Daphnia pulex: one gene and its partners. The protein of the gene in region 2 purifies or fractionates together with the protein of the main gene of each other region. This does not show direct contact. Links are inferred from orthologs where the notes say so. Each region holds a gene or a part of one and is shown on either strand. Other genes may lie near its edges.

Region 1 (6,663 bases), on a different chromosome or scaffold from region 2:
AACAGTCCGCCCAGTTCGTTAGTGGATGAGTAAGTATCGTGGCGTGGAAAATTGGGAGAGGCCGGCGACGTTTGTTGCTGAAAAGCGGCGAAATAAGTGTTTCTATCAATTTGAGCTACGGCATCTCCCGTCTGGATGTCCCAAATGTGGAGCTGGCCGGCCAAGCAGACACTCGACACGACATCTCCATCGGTGGATATGCATTCGATGGGCGAACGATGACCGTCGAGAACGAGAGGCATAGATTCTGCTACTATCTGTGAATAGTATTCGCGAGACTCTTGCGTCAACCCACCACCAGCATTGCCGGCCCAGCCCCAGAAAGTCGAAGAACTCCTCCATTCGGCGTAGTGCCGAGAGCAGATGCAACGATATAACACGACAGTCACGTAGGCGATAAACACCACGCTCGGTATGGCTAATAAAGTGGTTAAAATAATTTGAATGGGCGACGAAGGAACGTAGGGAGTCTTGTTGTCTTCATCGGAGCCACCGTTTCCGCCTGATCCGCCGCCAATACTTCCGTCACCATGGCTTCCGGACAGGCCGAAATCACTATCGTCACCGTCAAGAACATCAAGCGTATCGAGAGCTGATGCCAGAGATTTCCATCGCGATCGCGTCAGGTACTCGCCATCGCGACTGTTGCGCACTTCTGACACTCGTTCTGGGTTGACTGGGATAGAGATTCGAATCGGAGGCAACATGGCTATGCACTTTCCGGCCAACGAGATATTGTAAATGTCCAGCAGGTCGGGCCAGTGGCGATAAGAGAGCCTCCTCCAGAGCTCGACGTTTTTGGGATGTTGTAACCGATTCTGCCAATCGATTACTTCTTTGCCGCTGGATGACGTAACTGATAGTTCTGGTGCGGCCGAATTGGCTAGAATCGTGGATTCTTTCAAAAGATCTGGTTCTTCCGGTTCAATACAGTTGGATCCGGCAGAACACGAAACTTTGAGATTAGGATGTGGTGCTGGAAATTCAACCTGTGAAGAATCATTGGCTTCGACAGACCATCCGGCCGATTGATCAGCCAAATTTTCCATCACTACGTATTTGTAAAAGAAAATGCTCATCCATATGACCACACCCACCATAAAGGTACGCTGAAACAAACGCGTGCGAGCCCAAAAGTGAACGATCCTTATCCGACGTGGTACTCTGGCCGCAGCTGATCGATTGTGCGTGTAGGAGGATGGTGCTACGACGGCCGTTGGGGTATTTTTGGCTGAAACAGCTGCTGAGTGGACTCGGGTGCGCAAGTGGGGATGGACAGCATTCCCCGTAAATGCCCTTTCTGCTGAACTGAGAGTATGGACGGTGTGGTTGGTCGACAGGTACTGCTGACCAGGTTGAAGCTGCCGTCGTTGGCGCTGAATTTCCGACAACTCTTTGCGCAATATGTCGATGGACAGGACGGTGGAGAAGAACAGCATTTGCAGAACGAAATCGGAGAGAAGGGCGACGACGGCGAAGAGGCAAAATTCTTGAATGGCCGGCACGAAGGTGAAGAAGCCCACCGTCAAAATAGTCACTTCTGTTAACAAATTTTTGGTTATGTTCCATCCTTCACGACTAAGTCCCTGTGCTACACGGATCTTGACGTCCAAATTGGCTGGAGTAGAGACGACAGAGCGAGTCAAAACTAAGATGTTCTCCAGACCAACGATCACCACTAAATAAGGGAAAATGTCTCGTCCCTGAAGAGTGAAGCGCAATCCGAACCACGTGCACAGGCCGACCGACATGCCCAGCGATGCTACCACTGTCACTACGGCGCTGAAAGCCATGCCAAACTTGGATTTAACCATTTCGATCTTGCGAACAGAGAAGTAAATGTACAGGAACAGGATTAAGTAGACAAAAGTCAGCGGGATGAGCTCCAAATAATTGAAACGTTCGGGATAGTAAATGTGAACGATGGTGCGTCGAGATGATGTGGATTCTTGAGTGGTGGAGTGGAGAGGAAATTGATTGCGGAGCTTTAACCGCAAGTCATAAAGAAACGGTTCAGAATGAGTTTTAAGTAAGATTGTGATAGCGTACGTAAGGACGCGAGAACGAGTCTTGACTGGGAATTTTTTCAATCCACTATTTTTGAGCGGGACGCCGTAAAGTATGTCGGCCATACTTGATCGCACTTCTACCACTGGGTTCTTGAAAGAAAATATGGTGTCTAAGAACTGAGCGTCGTTGCGGAAGGTATTTTCGTCCAGCTTCCACAAATTGGCCGGCGACAAAATGATGCAGCTGAATTCGGGTAGAAGATGTTGAAACGAACGAGCTCTAGGGGCCACACTCTCCACGTAAAGGCAAACATCTCTAAGAGTCAGGTTACTCCTAGGTGAATGGAAACCCACTACATCAGAATGCAGCTTGAAGACTTCACTCAATGGGCCTCGAAAAGCATCCATCATGCCCAAATCAGACGTCCATGGATTGACAGAGGACCGTACAACTATTTGTTGTATGAAAAAAGATGGTTGCTGAGTTCCCCATCTGGTTGGATACTGAAAGCTTTTTCCAAATTCAAGATCAGAAGAGATTCTTTTCTCTGGAAGCGGGAAAGATATCTCCTCTGGTTCATTGCCTGGAAAAGGCAAGGACAATAAAGGATGACACGAAGTGAGAACAATAATAATTGCCACTATGATTGTGCACCAGGGGTAGCTAGAACACAGAAGGCCATGTTTGTAGTAGAGGAGTGCTACCCTGTCGGGTATACTCAGGCCTTTGGTGCTTGAATTCAGTCCACTTCCATTAGCAAGTCCAGCCGAATCAACATCTTTGACGGCGGGATGATGACCAATTTGTGGCTCAACAAAAGGCATGTTTGAGTAAGTCCAAAAATATTAAAACAAACTGTAGACGACGAATAGTGAATAAATTTCACGACATTTCGCCACACTTTCCAGTATTGGCAATATTGGGAATGACCTCCGAGAGCAAACGTTTCTCCTAAACAAGAAAATCAATATAATAAGAGATTTTTTAATTTAAAACCGGCTGCAGATTCAATTTTAATCTCTATTTACCTGTCGAAAATGCCCAAAAAAGAAAAACATGTCAACTAAAGATCAATGCCTTGACACAACTGGAGCGTCTAGTGCAGAAAATTGTAACGTGGTGGTGGAATTAAACAAGAAAAGAAATAATACAGTACCTACCAGAGTTGTCCTAAAATTTGTTTACAAAAATAGTTAAATTAGTAAAATTCGTTTGCCAATATGTTTTATGGTTATTAAGTTATTTAGTTTTAAATATTGCCGATTCCGCAATAGTTCACTCAGCCGCCGCCGCGCACACAACTAAACATTTATCGGTATCGCTAGATGCCGTTACTAGTTCTGTTTACTTGTAGTTATTCGCATGTTATTCGTTTCGCGATTGCGTTCGTTATTAGTCGGATAAACTTGTCAAAGTGTTGAATTGTAAGAATGACTTCCAAAGGGATCGAAAATGTGAATCCACAGTTATTTACGAAGAAGACAAAAAGAGAAATAACAAGTGAAGAAGAAGATGAATCAGTAGAGGATCCCATAGATGAGAGGGAAATATTCGGTAAAGACTTTCGCACTTGCGTAATACATCATTAAACAAATTCGCTTATCTCTCCATAATTATAGATTTGCTAAGGGATATCAATGATCCTGAGCATCCTATGTCACTTGAAGAACTGAATGTTGTACAAATCACGAATATAGAAGTAAAATATGAAATGTCTGATTTCACACAAAATCATTACCTCTATTTCCTTTATGTATGTACAGGTTGATGACAAAAAAAGCAGTGTTAAAGTCTTTTACACTCCAACAATCCCTCATTGCAGCATGGCAACTTTAATAGGACTGTCCATCAAAGTGTGTCTTCTCAGGTCTCTACCACCTAGGTTCAAAGTTGAAGTAAACATTTCCCCAGGTTCACATGCTTCAGAGGAAGCTGTTAATAAACAGCTAGCTGACAAAGAAAGAGTCTCAGCCGCTTTGGAAAACAGCAATCTACTTGAAGTTGTTAATCAATGCTTAGTAAAAAGTTTGGAATAATAACCATTTGATCAATACATTATGGATGAAAATGCAGTTTATTTTGATGGAACACATTCAAATCTATTCAGTGACAATTACTTTACATTGTCCCTGTTCATTTACATTCAATTAGAACCATGAAAGTTGTAAACTACTTTAAACCACTTTGCTTCATTTGAGCATCTTTGGACCCCAATTATGTCATTTAAAATATTTACCTAAAAACAAAAAGAAAAACACATTGCTTTTAAAAATAAGATGATCCAGTACTCTCAACTGCAGGGAACATTTCATTGCAGAAGCCAGAATTCTGGTCATTCAGTTTGAACGTGCGACCTGGGACGAAATCTTGGCGTTTCTTCTTTTTGTGAATCCAGTGCTTAGTTCCCGGAATGCTTTCGCGCTTCTGCACAGTGTAACTAAACAACACAGGGATGTTAAGTTAGTTCGACGCTGAAAAAATAATTGTGACACTCACTCTATGTTGAATTCAGCTTGGCCCATACGCAAGCATAAAAGAATTCCGTTAGCAAAGCTAACATCATTGACGAAATCGACCCGAGATTCAGCACCCACAGTGAAATCAACAGATGATTTAACAAACGGCGTGTTTAAATTTAATGACCCCTCTAGCTCCCATGCAGCGCTGAAATGAAAATATGAGTTTTATCATTATGATCAGAAATCCAGTCTGTAAATTGACTTACATATCTTCGACAACTGAATGAGAATTTCTGTTCCAAATACTGATTTGGATTTCGCCACCAAAATCAAAAGAGACAGAACCACGCACGTCGAGTGTAGTAACAAAACCACTTTGGAGTGGTACGACATTACGATAATCCTGAAGCAGCACAGTAGCCTGTTTATGAATGTCAATAGAAATGTCAATACCGAATTTAGTTTCTGTATACTTAAAACTCTGAAAAACAAAATGTAATCTACCTGTAGGGCTGTGGTTCTTTCAGATGCTGTGCCAGACCTGGACATTGGCAATGACAAATGGTATTAGTTCTATGTTACTAGAATTTTACTAATTTGGACCAGGTTAAACTCTTCTTTTCAAGGTCCAATAAGCATTCCATTTGCATTTTTAGTTTTGTTTACCTGCCAAAACAGCATGGAATATAGTAAAATATATACACTTACCAGACATGGCCCATTAGCTCGCTTTGACCCGAGAAGAAAATAACAGGTCTTAGCTGGACACCAGCAAGTGTGACTTCCATGCCTGCTGTAGGTTCTTCTTCGTCACCTTCAGTAGAAAAACCCATCAAAGAACCCATTCCACCGGTAAAAAGTCCGACCTATTTGTTACCATACCATTATAAGTTGATGTTTGAAATATTTTAGTTTCTTATATATTGTGGATAACAATTCACAAAATTATACCGAGAGTAGCTGAAAAGTGTCTTCGGGGTTTCGCAAATAAACATCAAAAGCGGCGCGTTTCATCATTTTGTTTGCCGCTTCAGTGGAAGAACTAGAATAATAAAAGGTTATCTATGAATGCGTACTTTGGTTAAATATCAAAATTTGCACCTAACCTAAAGCTTCCATTGCCATCAACGTTGCGATACAGATCGCGAGAGAAGGTCGTTGACATTCCATTCTGGGCGAATACGTGATAATTGTTAAGAGAAGGTCGGTCTGATAAGATTTGCTTCAACTGAGAACGGACAACTGGGTCATTTCCGGCATATTCTTGCAATCGCTGCAGTGAGTAGGTGTTTAGCTCCAAATTTTCGCTGCCTCCCATCGAAAGAGAAATCAAGACGTTGATAAGAAAAGTGCTGTCAGGCTGGTGATCGAGCAACATATCCAATGCCAATGTGCGAGCGCTCGAGTCGTAAGGACGATCAACTTGAAAGTAAATAATCTCCAATTTTTGTTTAACACGATCGTCGAGGAAGACGGAAGCGGGAAGAGCTTTTAAAGCTTTAACTGCCCATACTGATGTCTTCTTATCCTGGCTGTCAATGTGGGTCAAAATAATGGGTAGCGTTTCTGGCGAGCCCAAGTTTTTAAAGACTCGCATGTAAAGTTGGTTACAATCTTCGCTGGCACAAGTTTTCAGGTTGTCCGTAAAGTAGGTGGTGATATCTTTAACTAGCTATTTAATTAGGAAAAGTAAAAGCTTTAAATATTACAATGCGAAATTTATAAAAATAAAATGCATACCTTGTCACTTGCTTTCTCTTGCTGATTTATAACAAAAGTTTTTGTAATCGCAGCCAAGCTCAGCAATGCTGTTTCGCTGAGTTTTTCTGACTTGATTTTTTTGGATAACTTCAACAAACCTGAAATACAAGTTGTTATTTCAAAATTTCCAGTGCCTGAATTATGTTAGTAAATATAAAAATGATAAACTACCGCCAAGTAGATATTCAGATGGTCGAGTCGATAGTGAAACTACTTGCAAGAATCGCTCAGCCAGATCAATGTTTTCAGACTGAAAGTTGATCGCCTCCAAAGCAGCAGCATAGCTTTCAGCGGTTTGAGCGGCTGCGACTACATCGATCAGTTGCGGTCTTAAAAAAAAATACGCGCTCATTCACGGAATAACTTAAATAGGGTTAGTAAAAGCTTACAAAATTTGTTTGTTCTTGGAATCTTTTAACAGAACCAAAATATC
Region 2 (8,360 bases):
TTGTTACGGATCCTGGTGTCCGTTTGTTTGCTACCCTCTCACTCGACCTGGGCTTCACCTACGCGGTCAAAACACGTCGTGAAATCCGCGTCACGATGGAATTCGGCGACACGGAGATACGCGCCTCAGCCGTCGACGTTTTTAGTGGCAACACCATCAAGGCTTCCTTCGACTTTCTCGACGACAAGCCGCAATAGACACGGAGCACTACTGACAGCCACTGCAAACAAGACCTCACAACAACAAACTGTAGCAGTATTCTAATCCTGTTTGATCCTTTCCTAGCCAAAATGTTATAACTTTCCACGGCACTTTTTGACATCTACAACAGCTTCTTTTGCTCGGAATTTTTTTTAAGAGCACGATCCTCAAACATAATTGGAGTTTCTCTTTGATTCGACACTTTTTACAAACCATCATCACGCGGAATTGTTAAGAAGAGAATACATATTATTCTAATGCTTGACAATTCTGTTAGAAAAACAGTGTAATTGAAGCTCTTGAATGAATTATGGCACACTAATGAGATGTTAGTTACAGCCGGGCTGGCCCAACATAATCCACTTTTGTCTTGCCAATGCTGCCTCACGCCGGACCAATCGCTTTTTGTCGGACAGACAAGGGACGAGACGGAGGATGACCTATTAAAATTTATTATACAATACGAAGTTGAAGTTCAAAATTATGGAAAAGCCAAAATTTACCTCTGACCGAAGTGGGAGTAAAACAATCGATTGGGCCTTCCTGAGCTCAGAGAGACATTGAAGGGCAAGTCGACGGACGTCCTGGAGATTATGATAAAAATGTAAGTATAAAATTTACAAGCGTGAAGGAACAAAGGTAGATCTTACCATGTTAATGCCGTCTTTGGCAAGGGTGAGTAATCTGGGCACGAGACTGCTGATGTACTCTTCGATGGCACTGACATTGTCGGACATGAGACCCATGAACGCGTTGATGGTAGAAATAATTAGCTGAGCTGGTTGGTCTGTGCTCAGACACTGGATCAGCAGTGGGATGAGTGTGGTTATGTGGGCAATTAAAACACCCTCCGGAATGAAGGCTAGTTGATTGGCGATGGCGGCGAAGCAAGCTGCTTTGTTGCACGACTCGGACTCTCGATACAGTTTCAACAAGCGAGGTACAACTTCTTGAAAAAACCTCTGTCGGTACATTAACCTAAGAATTTAATCAATAAGGAAATGTTCGTACAACTAAATGGAAAACGTTAAAAAACCTGATGTTGGCATGACAATTGAAATTCAGGCATTCCTCGGTTTCACACAAAATCGTTTTAAATCCTTCTGCCACTAGGTACCCGTGCGTGGGATCGTTCAACGAATCAACTAACTGCAAAGAAAAAGGTAATTCGTTAATACAGGTCATGGCGCATGCTGTTACGTCTGTAATCCAATCGCATACTTCTTGGATATACTGATTAAGCTTGGAATAAGATCTCATCAGCAGAGCTTTAGTTATCCAAACAAACAGGCAAACAGAATTGCATCGGTCTGTAGATGGATCCTGCCATTTGCGCCGCAACGAATCGAGTATAGCTTCCAGTTCATGCCCTTAAACATAGCAGGTAATGGTTAACGTTGATGGTTTTGACTTTATAATAGATCCTATAAATTTTACCTTCAGGAAGTTTGTTGACCAGAGCGGCTATTAGCCGACAGGCAGACAGTCTGACGTCGGCTTTTGGATGACAAACAGTAATGGGTTCTAGTGTGTTAACTAGTCGTTCAAGACTGTGTCCGCTAGGTGTGGCATCCAATGATCCCAATGTCGCTTCCATTATGGACAACGTCCACGGAGAACGAGCAAGATGTTGACCTACGTATTGTTCGGTTTGTTCGTTGATGAATTCCGTGGCTTTCCTGTACAATGCCGAGAAGATTACAAAAACATTTCTTCCAACATTTTGATCTAATAGAATTACGCGGAAGATAAACTGGAAGCCAGATTTCTCAATAAAACACAAGTGGCTTGGAGTGACGCCGGAGGATCTCCATCTTCCAATGTTTTCAATCCCCAGCGGTGCAATTGCTGGAATATTTCTAGTTCGTCCCTTTGTGCGAAATGAGTCAAAACTTTGAGTACTTCAAGTCGTAATTCCAGTTCGGGTTGTTCGAGCACGGTCATTAGTCGGGATACCACCTGCGCACGAATCTGGGACAACGTCGGTAGAGTTGATAACACAAGAAAAACCGCATTGGCTTTGCCTAAACAACCAACAGATAACCTCTTTCCGTATTTTAATTGGTAAAATTCAAATTACCTGAGACGGCTATATCTAACAGCTTAACCAAGACTTGCTCAAGGAACAAGTTTTCATTCTTCTCTGCGCTTTTGCAAAAGAAATGACCAATCTCTGCAATAACGCTATCGGTGGCTGTTGATTTCTGGAGTAAATCTAAAAGTGTTCCATTGACCTTTTCCAAGTCTTGGTGGTTCAAACAGGTGCCAATTAAATGGCTCAATCCTTGCAGACTTAGATTGCGAAGAACTGCGTCATCCTCTTGTAAGACCTCAAGGTACAGCTCTAACAATTTTGGTATCAGAGAAGCTACACCACTTTGAGCAACTGTAAAATATAACCAAAGATATGAAAATGTTTCTAATTTTAATAATTTTTAAAATGTGGTACCGTTTGCTTCAGTGAAACCATAGAGACCAGCATGTACCATTTTGTTCAAACTATTAAGGATGAACTGACGTGGATTTGACTGTGGCCTGATCCTGTACTGGTCCATCAAAAGGGGAATGACCTATTTAGAGAAATGGGTTTCTGTTAAGTAGATTTTAAAAAAAATGTTTGTAGTTCTATAAGAGAATAAGAATAATACCTGGCTAACAATTAATGCACACGCGGGCGCACTTCCCGAGCATATCGCTAGCAAAATGTAGCTGCTCGGAGTCATTAATCGCCGTTCCGGTTCACACAAGTGCCCCTGACATTCTATTAATATACAATCTACAGTTAAATATACTCTTAAACGAATATTTGCTACACATTTACCGGTCAGCACATTTTTTAGTAATTTGGTAAAAGCTGGACTGTTAAATTCTCCGTCTGTTGTAAAAGCTCGGGATAAAGCGGCAAGAGCATCAAGTGAGGCATGTTCAAGATCGTCGGTATTGACATTGATCAAGACTTCTCTACGTATACTCGTCCAGAAAGAGTCCACCCATTTTTCAAGTTGGCCTGGTTGATACGTCTGACAGCAGAGTTCCTGCAAACAGTCGAAAATTACAATAGAATTGAAGCATAAAGACTAAATATAGAAGGGGAAAATTACCAAGGTTTTTAAGGCTTCTACTTTAGCTGAAACCAAGTCAGATTCCAATTTCTCTTGCAGTAACGGCAAACAATACTCTGCGAAATGAGGGCTACCGGCAAGGCACTGTCGTAATCCATCACAGAGCTGTTCTTTAGTTACTGCATAAGGATCATTAGCTGGCTATTCAAAATAAGAGTATTAGGATTTACTGACATGTAGCAATAAACTGAAAATTTCAAGAGACTTACAGGGGTGAAATCGATAGGGAAGTAGCAACTAAAAACTTCGAAAAACTCTTCTGTAAACGGCTCGAATCTGAAGTAACGAGCAACTACAGGGAAAACACTGAAGAGAATCAACAAGTTACGTGGGTCTCTTTCTTGATCAGCTAACTGGATGAGACCAAAAACAAAATCTTGGCCTAGGTCTTGTAATTCTGTAAGTTTAAAAATAAAATTTAGAAAATACTAACACAGCATATATATTTAGAAATTTATAATTTAGACCTTTTAGATGAAAAGCCAAGAGGTTTTTCACTGTTTTGTAAATTGCTCTTCTGTCATGCTGCAATTGTGATTGACAATGAACATCTTGAAAAATGCTCTGGGATATCAATCTGGCCAATCCAGGGGAAAGCTTAGGTGCTGTGCTCTATGACAAGGTATTAAATTTAACACTTTTGTATTGAATAGTATTTTTTTTCATACCAAAGCATGGAGGCCTTGCAGTGCGGCAGGTAGTATTGAATGATGATCTTTTAGCTTGCTACAGAAGAACTCTGTTACAAGTTCTACTTCCTTTTCATTTAGTCCCTTCAATTCAGGCCCCAACTGTTCCAAGATTGTGCCAATAGTTGACACTGCTTTGCATCGGTGAGTATTTTGTTGATTCAGTAAATCTGGTTGCAAATCTTCAACTAGCTTGAGAATTGTTAATTCTTTTGATGCAATTGCTGAAAAATTAAACAAAGTCATTGATGTTAACTTGTTAAAATTATTAAACATTTTCTACACATATGTTTTAAATCTGGCGCGCTCATGATGGACACGTGTTTTTCCTTCTTTTTTTCTAATTTCGAACACTTGAGCGGAGTACGAAAAAATGTTTCTTTCAGTTATAATTATAAAAACTTACATTGACTAATACAGCGAATAGATTCATTCGCGGATTCTTCTGAATTAAACGAATCTCTGAGTTTGTGAATCGCAGTCGAGATCGCCATGTTTACTGTTTACCTCTGCCCTGATTATGTAAACGTCATCTGCTTTTAAATGACACATGGTTGCCTACCTCTCACATTCTTCTTTTCATGAACTGATTATTCATCGAATATATAATTTTGTCACAGATTATGTAATTGTAAACAAGCAACAGACTTTTGTAACAAATTTCGTAATTAAATATTGAATAACCGCATTCCAACATGTTTTGAAATAGCTTCCGTGAACGGAGGAAAATATCACCCAGGTTTTGTATTTTCTAGATTTTTCATTACGCATTGGAAAAAAAACAGATGGGTGGAGACTTCCAAAGTAAACTTTTATGTGATTCCGATAAATCGTGCTGGTAAGCATGGGAGGACTAGAAAAAGATAATTAATCGCGTCAAGGTCGCACGCGCAACGCATAGAACCAATAGACAGACGTATTTTTGAAGTCAGTTGTAGCCTGAACGTCCCATTATAAACGAGAGTCCCAAAACGTCTGTCGTAGCAGTCTTTTAGTAGACTACGTTACGCGAATTCCACTCACGCACAACAACTCAAATCGGCATTTCTCTTGTCAACCTTGAAATCTCTCTCTTCCACCACTTCCTTTAACGTGGTCCCGACATCTGTTGCCTTGGTGTTCGACAACGACAGCAACTTCTTGAACTGGAGCTCCCACCAACAATATTACAATGGGGCTCGAAAATTTAATTCTTTTGCTAGTACTTAGTATAATTTTTATGCCTGTTATCCTGGTAATTGGTTGCTTGGTGCTAGTGATGACATGCAACTGGTCAAGGAATTTCCGATCAGGATATGTTAAACTACTATTGAAGGTCTTTCAGGTAATATGTCTTATTCTTAGTATTTGAGTTTTCGTAATGCTCATAATCTTTTTTATACTAGTATGGAACTGGTAGGATAGAAATTGCTGAGCAGCAAAAGAAACTAGAGACCAATAAAGGAAAGAATGGCTATGCAAATGGAAATGTTGTGGAAGCAGTGGAACAAGCTGAGGACAAATTATCAACTGGACATGCCATTATAAAATCTTCAGCAATGTCCAAGGAAGATCTAGTACTTTTACCTAATGGAAACTCATCTCCAAAGACACCCTCCATCCCCAAAAACAGATCATTTAACAGTTTGAATAATGATTTTATTCTATCTGACTGCCTTGACTTTGTTCATGCGGGGGTGGAAGCAATCATTGAGGACGAAGTTACAGGAAGATTTGTAGCTGAAGAACTAAAGGTACTCAAATCTCACCTACCAATTTGGTTCACAGTATCTAACATTAAATTTGTACTTCCCAGTCTTGGAATCTTCTTACTCGCACAAACCGCCACTATGAGTTCATCAGTGTTCGCCTTACTATTACTTGGATTTTGGGTTTCTTTGTACGCTACTTCATTCTTCTACCAAGCAGAGTTACAATTTGCTTTTTAGCTGTAAGTATACTTCAAAATGTGTTCTTTGTCAATTATTTTGTTAGTATTATTTTAACTATATTATTGCAATTGTAATGAAATTATTCATTTGTCTTTGATTGATGTGATTTTCTATAGGTTATTTGGTTAACTTTGTGCACAGGACTGGTTGGCTTCCTAAATGAAGGTCCCATGAAAAGAGCCATTTATGAGAAGGTATAAACTCCAAATTCTCTTTTTACCCCGTTCAGTTATCGAATTTGACCTCGTGTAGATAACTGTAGAACTCCCGATGGTTCGAATAGGACAAAGTTCGAATCAACATTTGCTCCGTTTATTCATATCTTTTCTTTAAGAGTTTGCATTACAATACTTTCTTGTTTTAATATCTTATTGGTTTTGTTTTGGTTTTGAAGGTTTCAACATGGTGCTTCAATTTTCTATCATGCGCGTTATCAGCCGTCGTCACTTTTCACAATAGAGAGAATATACCTAAGTGTGGTATTTGTGTGGCGAACCACACGACTCCGGTGGACGTAATGGTTCTCCACTGCGACAATGCGTATGCGCTGGTATGTTGGATTTAAAATTTTTAAAAATCTATATATTTATTTACTTTTCATTATTTTTTTAAAGATTGGCCAGCGTCACGGTGGATTTTTGGGCATTATTCAGCGAGCTTTGGCTCGCGCTTCTGCTCACATTTGGTTTGAACGCTCCGAAGTCAAAGATCGTGAAACTGTTGCTAAAAGGTAATATCGATTGCCGCATACCGGATTTATAGATCGAGTTCCTATTCGAAAATCCTGACTTTTGATTATATTTTCAGACTAAAAGAGCACGTTGACGATCCTGATAAGTTGCCTATTCTTATTTTTCCCGAGGGAACCTGCATCAACAACACTTCTGTGATGCAGTTCAAAAAGGGCAGTTTTGAAGTTGGCAGTATTGTTTATCCTGTCGCAATTAAAGTAATTTGCTTCGTTACGAGATTGCCATTGAGATTGCCATTATAATAATTTTATTTGTGATTTAGTACGACGCAAGGTTTACCGACGCATTTTGGAATTCTAGTCGCCACTCGATGATTCAATATCTCTACATGATGATGTCCTCTTGGGCTTTGGTCTGCGACGTTTGGTACCTACCACCCATGCACCGTCGACCAGAAGAAAGTGCAATTGATTTCGCCAATCGAGTCAAAGCAGTGATTGCAAAACAGGGCGGCCTAGTAGATCTAGCTTGGTAAGTTGGTCTTCGTAGACTTCACCTCGAAAAAATCGCCGATTTTAACGCTTTTTGAATTCCAATTTGATAGGGATGGAGCACTAAAACGTATGAACGCCAAGAAAGAATGGAAACAGAAACAACAGGAAGAATTCAGCAAACGATTGAAAGTTGAGTGATTCTCGTCTGTCGGCCTGGTGAACGTTGAGAGGAAAGAAATTTGTTTTACGTTTTGTTTATTTTTTTTTAATAACAATTTTGTGTTGCGATGGAAATTTGATGCATCAAGTACCGAATGTTAGTGGTGTAGCGCCATTGGTTTTTTTTTTAGGTCGTAGCCGGGCCACTCTTCCAAAAAAAAAGTGATGCGTTAAAATGGAGATAACGCATTCGTTGTATTTGTGTTTGTCCATCTTTCTCTCATTGTTTTTTTTTTCTCTCTTTCAACGTTCTCGCAAAAGAAAATAAGCAAATAATTTCTGGTTGATAACGACCGAGCATACATATAGGCCTATCGATATTTCTCAGACGAGATTTGCTCTGCTCATTTCTGAATCGAATCATTGTTGTGAATGCGTGTTTCCTAGAAGTAATGGTCCCTATATCTTTAAAAATTCCCTCTTGGTTGATGAATGGTGGCCCAGGTGATCTAAGTCATTGATGTGGTTAAAAGCTTGTGGGGAGGGTTGACATCATTTTTCCATATGTGTTTTCTGTTCGATTTACTTGATGTTCTGTTGTTCTTTGGTTTTTTCGTCGACTTCGATGTTCTCCTGATGAACACTGGGTATATATACACACATATATATGCGACATATGCTTTTTTTTTCTAAGCTAAGAATCGTAAACTAACTGTTTGTGTTTAACTTTCTCGATACATCGGATTTTCGGATTTCACATGTTGTTTCATTTGGTAATGAAAGAATGAACGCTAATTATAGTTTCAAACATTGAAAGAATTAAAGTTAAAAGGACTGAAGGCGGAATATAATTTCGCCATTCAGAGGAGTTAAAATAATCTTTGTTTCCTTATTTCTTTTGGGTGCGGTACGCAAGTCCCAGTCGTCATTGGTAACTTGCGACATAAGCACCAAAAATTTAAAAAAACGTCAAAAGACCCAAACGTAAAGTTCCCCGTGTTATTTATGACCCACACGTCATATGTCCCAAATGTTACAAATTCCATTGTTTTTATTTTTTGCCATTTGTCCC
Region 3 (8,313 bases), on a different chromosome or scaffold from region 2:
TCTGCGTTTCATCGGAAGTTTAGGCAGGTAATCCCACTTTTATCTCGGAGACACGCTATTCCTCCCACTTCTTTTCCAAGAAAAAAAAAGACAGAAAAATGAGAGGCACCTGCTGCTGCTGTCGAGTCCGCGTGAATTTCCCCTCTCGCAATGCAAACAAAATTGACGAAAAGAAGAAAACAAAATAACCAGGACTAGTCTTTTTTCTTTTCTGTTTGGGTGGACAACCAAAATAGTCCGTCGCCGGTTGCGTGTATGATTGACCACCACACGCAACCGGATGACCGAAACAAAACCAAGCACAAGTCCAAATCACAAAATGGAGAGAGAATTTTTCAATGTGTTTTCCCAAAAACTTGAAAACCGCCAAAACTTTGACAGGATCAATCCCCTCCCATCTGTAAACACACAGACACACACACAAACAAATAAACAGAAAACACAAAAGAAATGGGAAAAATACTTTGCGTGACCTCCGGTCTCATTCCGGCTGAACCCCCCCACCGGACGATTTCAATTTCATTCTCAAACGCATTTTCTTTCTATTCTTTATTTGTGTTGATTTCGTTTCGACTGTCACCCAGGTCGCCCTTATTGTGCGCTTTCCCCCGACAATAGGGATGACAATGGGAATGAAACGTTATTATTATTGATCCAAAGATTCATGTGCGCTACACAATACGCGTACACGTAGTGGACTAGATTTACGTTGTGCGTAAGTCACTCGACTAACCAATTCCCCAACATCTGACTAACTACTGAAAATGAATGTCAGTTGGTTTGTCTCCTACCTGCTTCCGCTCTCTGCCACGCCAGGCTGGCGCACAACAAGGCCAGTGTTTTGCCGGATCCGGTCGGACTCTCCAGTAGACAATGCTGGCCACGCTGCAATCCTCGAATCACCTGGACAACAAATAAATTATTAGTAATATCTACTTAATGAACCCCACACACATTTTTTGGGGTTTTTTTTTCTCTCCCCCCTTCGTCTGCCGCTTGCCTTTCCCTCTGATTACGTATTGATGTTAAAAGAAGATAACGAATTTGGTATAGTGTGTGTGGCTCACGTTCGTGAGGTGGCCTCATCATCATCCCAATAGGATCGCAAGCAGCTTACGCATAAGTAGATCAGAGCCTCCCCTACCATAAAAAGAAATATACAAGAAGCATGTGTGTCTCTTACTTTATCCATCATGGCAATCTGCGACGGATAAGCCTTGGCCGGAAACTCGACACGGACACCGCTGATTGTGTAGACATAGTGAAGCCGGCCGTCCGGACCAACGACAGTGGCCATCTGCGAAAGAATCAAAATGAAACAAAAATTTAAAATATTTAAAAAAATAAATAAACAACAATAAAAAATAGAACATTTCTTTCGATTATTATTTGAGAGAGAGAAAAAAAAACCCGAAATGGTTCGTCAGTTCCAAATAAAAAGCTATTTTCCATTGCCCCCACTCTCAGAGGACGTCGCTTCAATTATCTTAACGAGTAGAGCCGGTTCGGTATTATTCAGCGTGCGTCAGAGTAGAAGAAGAACACACACAGAGCGAGAGAGAGAGAGATGCTGACAAGGGAACAAGAGGAAACTAGAGACGATTATCATCCCATAGAAAAGAGTCATCATCTTCCTCTCTCTCTTTCTCTCTCTCTCTCTTCTCTTGTTAACGACTGAAGCGAGTGGTCGCCTCACATTAAGGCTCTCTTCTTTCATCGCTATACATTGAGGAGCTGGCTACCTTCGTTATTATTAGACTGGACGGATGGAGAGTCCTCACATTCAGCGGCTCTTTCTCTATTTTCACTCGGCAACCAAAATGAAAAAGGGGATCAACTGAGAAACGAAATTCGAAATGTTAACTATCCGCCCGCACTTGTAAAGGAAGTAGACGATGGCGGTGGTGCGGAATTGACTAATTACATTGGCAAGTCCCAATTATTCGATACATTCATCATCCGACTGAGTGACTCCCGCAGAGTGCGGACACACGACGACAGAGAAAAGTTTCCTTTTCCATCATTAATCAATAAACAGAAGAATAGCCGCCAACCGTTGAAGTACATCATCATCAACCGGCTGAAATCGATACACAAAAGTATCGACTCTTTGCATTCAATCGGCTATTTCTCTCTTTCTAATGATTCCAAAATTAAATGCAATCTTCTGAGAAGAAGAAAAACAAAAGTATTTTAATCCTTCCAAATAAGGTCCGTCTGCGCTTTTTGTTCTGCTGGGCGATTGTCATCTTTCGGCTTCCGAATGGTCTGAAACTCCACTTTGATTGACGATGACATCCATCGGCTGATAATATGGCCGACTCGCAGGTGACGGAGGGTGGAACGAGGCCCCCGCCGCCACCTGATTCATTATTCATTAAGAGAATATTTGTAGGTTAAACCAGTTTGAGGGAATTAAATAGAAAAGAGAACGAAATAGACAGAAAAAAAGATTTCCCTTCCACGTGCCATGCACCTGGCGTGCGAGCGAAACGTTTTCCACGAAAAAATAAAAAATAAGAAAATCTAAAGAAATAATAAGAGAGGACGCTGGAAAAACGGTAAGCTTTTGTCTGCCTGGACACGGACCTAACCGAGCCAACCAAATGGGATGCTGAAATACATCCAATTAATAATCCAGGGCTGCGCCACACACACAAAAATTGGGCCCAGGCTTCTTCTTCTTCTTTTCAGCGATAGCGTGATCTTCTCAACGCGAAAAAGACCAACAAAATGACACACACGCAGCCGCAAATGAGTAAAAAGGAAAAACCAAGAAGAAGAAAAAAAAAGCAAACAGAAAAACTAACGACAGGCTCGTTAAATGGCGTGCGGTTATCCCAGTTTTGTTTGGTGCGGTGATGACAGGTGCAAAATGGGGGAAAAATGAAGAAGAAGAATTCAATTCTTGGTGGGCTCCGGGCAACGTCTCTTGTTTGCTCGCCTTATTATTACGGGAATTGTGTTGCTGTTTCCTCGACACGAGAAGACAAGGTCACTAATGACTAGGTACAAAATATACCAAGAAGAAGAAGAAGAAAAACAGTTGAAATTAGAAAAGAAAAAGGGGGGCCACCTCTATCATCAACCTGACAAAAGTCGCGCGTTCGACGCTTCCGTCGGCCCACAGATCTCCTATTTATTTCTACTTTTCCTTTTTCGTTTTCAATTGTAAAATGGTCGGACACAACAAAGTTGGGATTGGAAGGAAACGGACAAACTAAGGGCACAACAAACAGGCCAGCAGGCGAAGGGCGGGGGAGGTGTTTTGTAGTTTCCTGAAAACGCGTATAAACAAATCATCAAGACACACCATCAAGCAACTCTCCTCAACAGTTTCGTGTTTGACCTGTGGCTACGTTTTTTAATTTTCGTTTTCTGGGAGGAGGGTCATTTCACGGCAGACACACAACTGTCCAAATTATGATTCAGATTCCACACTCGGAGCTGTTGGCTTTTCCCCCTTGAAATGTTGACGTTTCTCGCCTGTCAGTCACCAGGTGAGAGACTACTACACCAAAAGCTCGGGGCCTATGAGCCAAAGCGAAATGCACCCCGCAGAGACTTCCCTAAACTTGTCTGTAATTTTCAGTGTTGGAGGCTATATGTGCACGGGTATGTTACAAGTCGAGGGGGTTGTCAAGTCGAACCCTGTCTTGAAATCTTCCCTCATGGGAAACTTATAACAGTCACATCACGCCGACAGAGTTTAAACGATCAAACATCCAATTTGATTGTGACAAGAACCAGAGGCTAGGAGGGTATCTTCGACCTTGGTCCGCCCGTCTCACAGACTTGCTGGCGTGATGCATGTGTGCAGGATAAGATGCCTGAAAACTCATTACAGCCTCGCAATAATAACAAGGCATTCTAGCTGCTTCCACTTGGGCCAAACTCGGAGAAGAGGGGGGTGAAGAGCGGATCAAAAGCAAACTAGTCAACTAGTTGAACTGTGTTGTACTCTTGATACACCGGCAGCAGCACCAAAACTAAAGCGAGGCAAAGGCAGTTATTCGGCTTTACAAAAGTGATCTGGCATTTAGGTGTTTAAGTCTCAAAGTTCAAACTGTTTGGAAACCAGTGGTGGTGTTGAATATTTCAAGCTAGGATTGTTTCACATGCAACAAATCTTTCAAACAAGTTTCAGACACTTTTCCCCAACCAAATCCCCTACCTAATCTACCTGTCACAACTTGGGAGGAATTAAATTGAATGCCAACTGACTCTGTATGAAAGAAGTGGAAAATACATTAAAAATGACTTTCACTGTCATAATAATGAGAGCAGCAGCGCCTGATGTGTTTTGAACTTGTTCAATTCAGCGTAACCACATCAAGATATTTGACACTCTTGACGAGTAGCACTCAAGCCACACCTTGAAGGAAAAAAACACAGGATTCAAATTCTTATTATAAAATTACGGTTGATGGGCTAATAAGAAGAATCAGGTTTTACCACATTGCTTGCTTCTAGCAATTCTGTAACATTGAAAGCTTTTGAGTTCATTTTTCCCTAGAAAAAAGGTATCAACAATTTTGTCATTGTTTGCCATTGCTCTTGAAAAAGTCTTTTGCTGGTTGTGCATGCTGTCTAGGTAAATTAACTTTCAAATGGCAATCAACTGGCAACTCAATGACGATTTTAGCCCTTCACGTGGTTATTTATGTAATTCTTGGAAAAAACAAACAAAAATGGTCGTACCTTTTAAACTGGTATGTTGGGGTTGTGTTCAATTAGCTTAATGAAAAAACCGTGAGGACACAAAGAAGAAAAATGAGAAAAAACAACAACGTGGTAAGGACACCAAGTGATAACAAATATGCCGGGAAAACGACAAGGGATTGCCAATTTGCGTCTGCTATCAGCGGGCGCGTTCGTAAATCAATGGAATTTTCGACGACTATTCACGTTCGTGATGTCCTCAATCCTCATTCTTACGTGGCAAAAAAAATCCAGACTGTCCAACTGCATCACCGTGTATATTTTTAATTCCAACATTAATTGTTAATCAAGATTTTTCGTTTTCGTCACCGCTGCGTGACAAAGTTGTTCACTGTCGCCACTAGGTGGCAGCGAAGGCGACTATTCCGTCTCTGTGGCCGTGATTCAGCATCGCTCGGGAATGTGGAATTACAGGGAAGATCATCTCATCAATCTTTTCACGCAAAAAGCACCCGCTGATAAATAACAAATTAAACCAATCTGATCATTAAGAAAAAGATGAACCCCGAAAAGCCTGAAACCCAAAATAGACATTGTTCAAATGAAAAATAGATGTTTCGCTGGTTTAAATATTAGCCACATATCGATTTCGACGCGACAAGTATAAAGACGCACTCGCTCACTTCGTATCACGCTTGTGAATTAAGTTGAAGTATGCGAAGAATTTTCGGCAAGCGGGAAAAAAAGAAAAGAAATTGGGGAATTTGACGTCCATATGCGCGTCTGTGGAAAGGGAAAAAATGGAGAATCCTTAATATTAAAATATTTTGTAGGTTGTGATTTTGTTATTTTTCATTCCTCTTTTTTTTTTGGCGTACATATCAAGCCCGTGATCAGCTCCAATGAAAATATCCCACAGATTTCGATTTTGATTCCAAGGTTTTTTCCCCTCTGAAAAAGTTAACGCCGAAATTTCCTTTTCTGACTCTACTAAGGAGTTTGTTTGCATACTGGAGAAGGAGGAGCAGGCATCAAAGTATTTTATTTTTTATTTTTATTTTTTAAGGGAATAGAAATAAGGAGATGTGGGGGGCTGTGTTTGCTTTTGCTCCGCGTGTCCAGATGGAAAAAAGAAAAAAAAAAGGACGGACGAGAGAGCGCGCGGTTCCAATTGACAGGCTCATGAAGCATTTGGTACCTGCTCAGCTTATTAATGCGGGCAAGAGCAGAGGAAAGAGAAGAAGAAAAAAAAAACCTGTCGGGACGACTGAAGTTTTTTTTTCTTTCTTTTTTTAAAAACAACAAGAGAGTGGAGAGTCCTGCTGCATCGGTCCACAAAACAGCAGGCTGCTTTGATATGTGTCTGTCTGTTTCTCTCCCTCTCTCTATCGCCCAGGACCCCCAAACATCCCCGTGGTCTCCTCTTCTTCTTTTCTCGTTTTAGACTTTGAAAAGAAGAAGAAGAAGAAGAATATCAAAAGCGGATACATTTATATAAGGACGTTGTAGACGAAGACGAAGAATCCACCCATCACTTACACGGAAACACACCTGAAACTGAACCGTCCGCTCGTATGTATATTTAAATATAGCCGGGGCAAAAAAAAAAGACAAGATGGGGGCCTGCCTGGGCGCGAGAGGATCCCATCACCGGGTCCTTCGGGTCCACAGTCCGTCGTCAGGGCAAAAAAGTGGCGTGTGTGTGTGTGTGGCGTGCTGGCTCTTTTGCTCTGGCTGCTGGCCTTCGGATAGCCTTCTTTGGCGGCGCCTCTCTCTCTTTGCCCAGTGTCTTTTTTTGTTTTTGTATTTTTTTTGTCCAGCAGCTTCTTCTCTTTTTTGTTCTTTTCTGTACAGTCGACAAGTTCGGGAGCGAATCCATCTATTAGAGAAACCGCGCGACCGGCTACCGTCTTACGGACACGCCAGCCATCTACGGTCTTGAGGCATTTGTTACTCTGCGTCAACCACTTATACACACGACGACCTTTTCTTTGGCTCTGTATAAACATACACATAATCTAAATTTGAAAAAATAGAAAAAGAAAATTCAAGTTTATTTTCTTTTTCTTTTGGCGAGATGATTCGAGCAAGTCAATCAAATATTCCCCAAAAGAAAGAAGGAGGGAAGAAAAATGTATAGTCGCCATTAAAAATCTTTCGCTATCAGAAATGGTCTGGAAACACCAAGCGCGTTTGGATCGGGTTCCGCCAAAGGATTTTTTATTTTTTATTTTTTCTTCTCTTTTTCACATGTTATGTTTGTTTTGTATTTCCCTCCCAACCTGAAGAAAACAAGATGAAATCGTACGACGGGCGGTCCATCATCATCGGTCGGTTAAGAGAAGAACAAAAAAATCATAAAAGGAATAAATAATCAATTTCCTTTTTCCCAAAAAATAAAGAAAAAGAAAATGTTTCATTGAAAAAAAAAAGACTTGGAAGTCTCTCTGCCGGGCGAATGAGGTGGTGCCCATCTGGCGCCAGGTGGGCGACGAAGATATTACACACACGGCCCCTACCTAGTGGTGGTGGAGGTAGTGTGGTGGCGGCGGCGGCGGCGGCGGCAATTCTCCGGCTATAATTCATCACGGGCAATTGCCATCTTTTCTCAAACGACGGATAACTCGAGTGACACTGCGGCGCTAAATCAAATCCCCACGGTTAAAAAAGAAAAGCCAAGAGCCAAGAGGGAGGAGGAGGAGGAGGCCCCCTCAGTTTCTAGCGTCTATGCCATGGCCGTGTGTCATTAGACTCCCCGTGGCAAACTCTTAATGAGAACTCCTTTTCTCTCTCTCTCCAGTTGATTGGCATGTAGACAGACTCTCTTTGAATGCTTTGCGCTAGAAAAAAAAAATAAATAAAAATCTGAAATGATTTTCATGTCGCGATGGCGGCAGCTGTGGCTCGTCTTCATTTCCCTGTGCGCCAATGGAAAATAAAAAAACCCCGCCCATTCGTGGACCTGCCATTGGTCACTCCTTTTTTCTCAAGGCGGCGGCCAACTCTTCACACAAATTAAAAACTACACACTTGCGTAAGTTTTTAAAATAAAGGAAAGAAACCTAAGCTTCTTTCAAATTACATTTCCCAATATGATTCCGTGTGCGGAAGCCCGAAAATAGTACAAACACATGAAAAAGATCCTTGGGCGCGCCGCATCTACGTACACAGCGTATAAAATTGCGCCCAAGAGACGACGTCGACGACGACAAGAGTCTCTATCGATGTCAAAATCTGCCTCGGCACTTGACACACGGTTAAATAAGTGAAGCCAAAATGAAAGGGGGCAACACAAAAATATCAAAAAAAAAACCCAGTCCGAGTCGACGGTATAGCCAGCGATTCGTTATTCCTGATCAGATGACTAGATCGTTCTATATAGCAGCTAGAAGAGTAGTACTACTGCGAGCATCTCTCTTATCTCTTTTTTCTGTGTGTACATGTGTATATCAAATGAGTGAGGGGGGGCAGAGTCTCTCCTCGGGAGAGGGCGGCGCAGTTGTCAGTAAAAGGTTAAGTATCGGAATAAGTGGAGGGGAGATGCCGGCCATCCGGCTTCTTCCTCCGGCTCCGTTTTGGAGGAGTAAAGAGAGAGAGATAGCCGGAGCATATTGCAGCAGGGCGATTGAGAGATACATAAACTAATACGCC

Evidence for each region. The genes of interacting proteins can lie anywhere in the genome.
Region 1: the proteins of MMS19 nucleotide excision repair protein homolog (region 2) and cytosolic iron-sulfur assembly component 2B-like purify together in Homo sapiens (affinity purification with western blotting; 11 studies listed by BioGRID and IntAct, counting the BioPlex papers as one, with this or other methods). This does not show direct contact. The link is inferred for Daphnia pulex from reciprocal best matches to the Homo sapiens genes MMS19 and CIAO2B.
Region 3: the proteins of MMS19 nucleotide excision repair protein homolog (region 2) and Fanconi anemia group J protein homolog purify together in Homo sapiens (affinity purification with western blotting; 3 studies listed by BioGRID and IntAct, with this or other methods). This does not show direct contact. The link is inferred for Daphnia pulex from reciprocal best matches to the Homo sapiens genes MMS19 and BRIP1.

Annotation. Positions count from the first base shown.
Region 1 is NC_060019.1:10,898,257-10,904,919, forward strand, and holds cytosolic iron-sulfur assembly component 2B-like, read left to right. Parts: upstream 1-3,318; 5' UTR 3,319-3,440; coding exon 3,441-3,564; intron 3,565-3,629; coding exon 3,630-3,709; intron 3,710-3,773; coding exon 3,774-4,046; 3' UTR 4,047-4,082; downstream 4,083-6,663. Other genes in the region: sterol regulatory element-binding protein cleavage-activating protein-like, read right to left, coding at 1-2,834; microsomal triglyceride transfer protein large subunit-like, read right to left, coding at 4,276-4,447, 4,507-4,674, 4,736-4,890, 4,974-5,010, 5,178-5,335, 5,421-5,511, 5,576-6,141, 6,210-6,328 and 2 more.
Region 2 is NC_060026.1:4,195,896-4,204,255, reverse strand, and holds MMS19 nucleotide excision repair protein homolog, read right to left. Parts: upstream 4,550-8,360; 5' UTR 4,507-4,549; coding exon 4,419-4,506; intron 4,237-4,418; coding exon 3,992-4,236; intron 3,936-3,991; coding exon 3,791-3,935; intron 3,721-3,790; coding exon 3,533-3,720; intron 3,465-3,532; coding exon 3,303-3,464; intron 3,237-3,302; coding exon 3,023-3,236; intron 2,963-3,022; coding exon 2,850-2,962; intron 2,772-2,849; coding exon 2,651-2,771; intron 2,588-2,650; coding exon 2,282-2,587; intron 2,226-2,281; coding exon 1,943-2,225; intron 1,881-1,942; coding exon 1,639-1,880; intron 1,572-1,638; coding exon 1,423-1,571; intron 1,351-1,422; coding exon 1,238-1,350; intron 1,180-1,237; coding exon 852-1,179; intron 786-851; coding exon 705-785; intron 642-704; coding exon 531-641; 3' UTR 470-530; downstream 1-469. Other genes in the region: heat shock 70 kDa protein 12A-like, read left to right, coding at 1-197; glycerol-3-phosphate acyltransferase 3-like, read left to right, coding at 5,184-5,336, 5,398-5,745, 5,808-5,942, 6,060-6,137, 6,338-6,493, 6,558-6,673, 6,751-6,892, 6,958-7,166 and 1 more. UniProt on the Homo sapiens protein: Key component of the cytosolic iron-sulfur protein assembly (CIA) complex, a multiprotein complex that mediates the incorporation of iron-sulfur cluster into apoproteins specifically involved in DNA metabolism and genomic integrity.
Region 3 is NC_060028.1:9,935,745-9,944,057, reverse strand, and holds the start of Fanconi anemia group J protein homolog, read right to left. Parts: upstream 4,882-8,313; 5' UTR 4,702-4,881; intron 1,300-4,701; exon of another isoform or gene 1,298-1,299; coding exon 1,184-1,297; intron 904-1,183; coding exon 792-903; intron 1-791. UniProt on the Homo sapiens protein: DNA-dependent ATPase and 5'-3' DNA helicase required for the maintenance of chromosomal stability. Acts late in the Fanconi anemia pathway, after FANCD2 ubiquitination.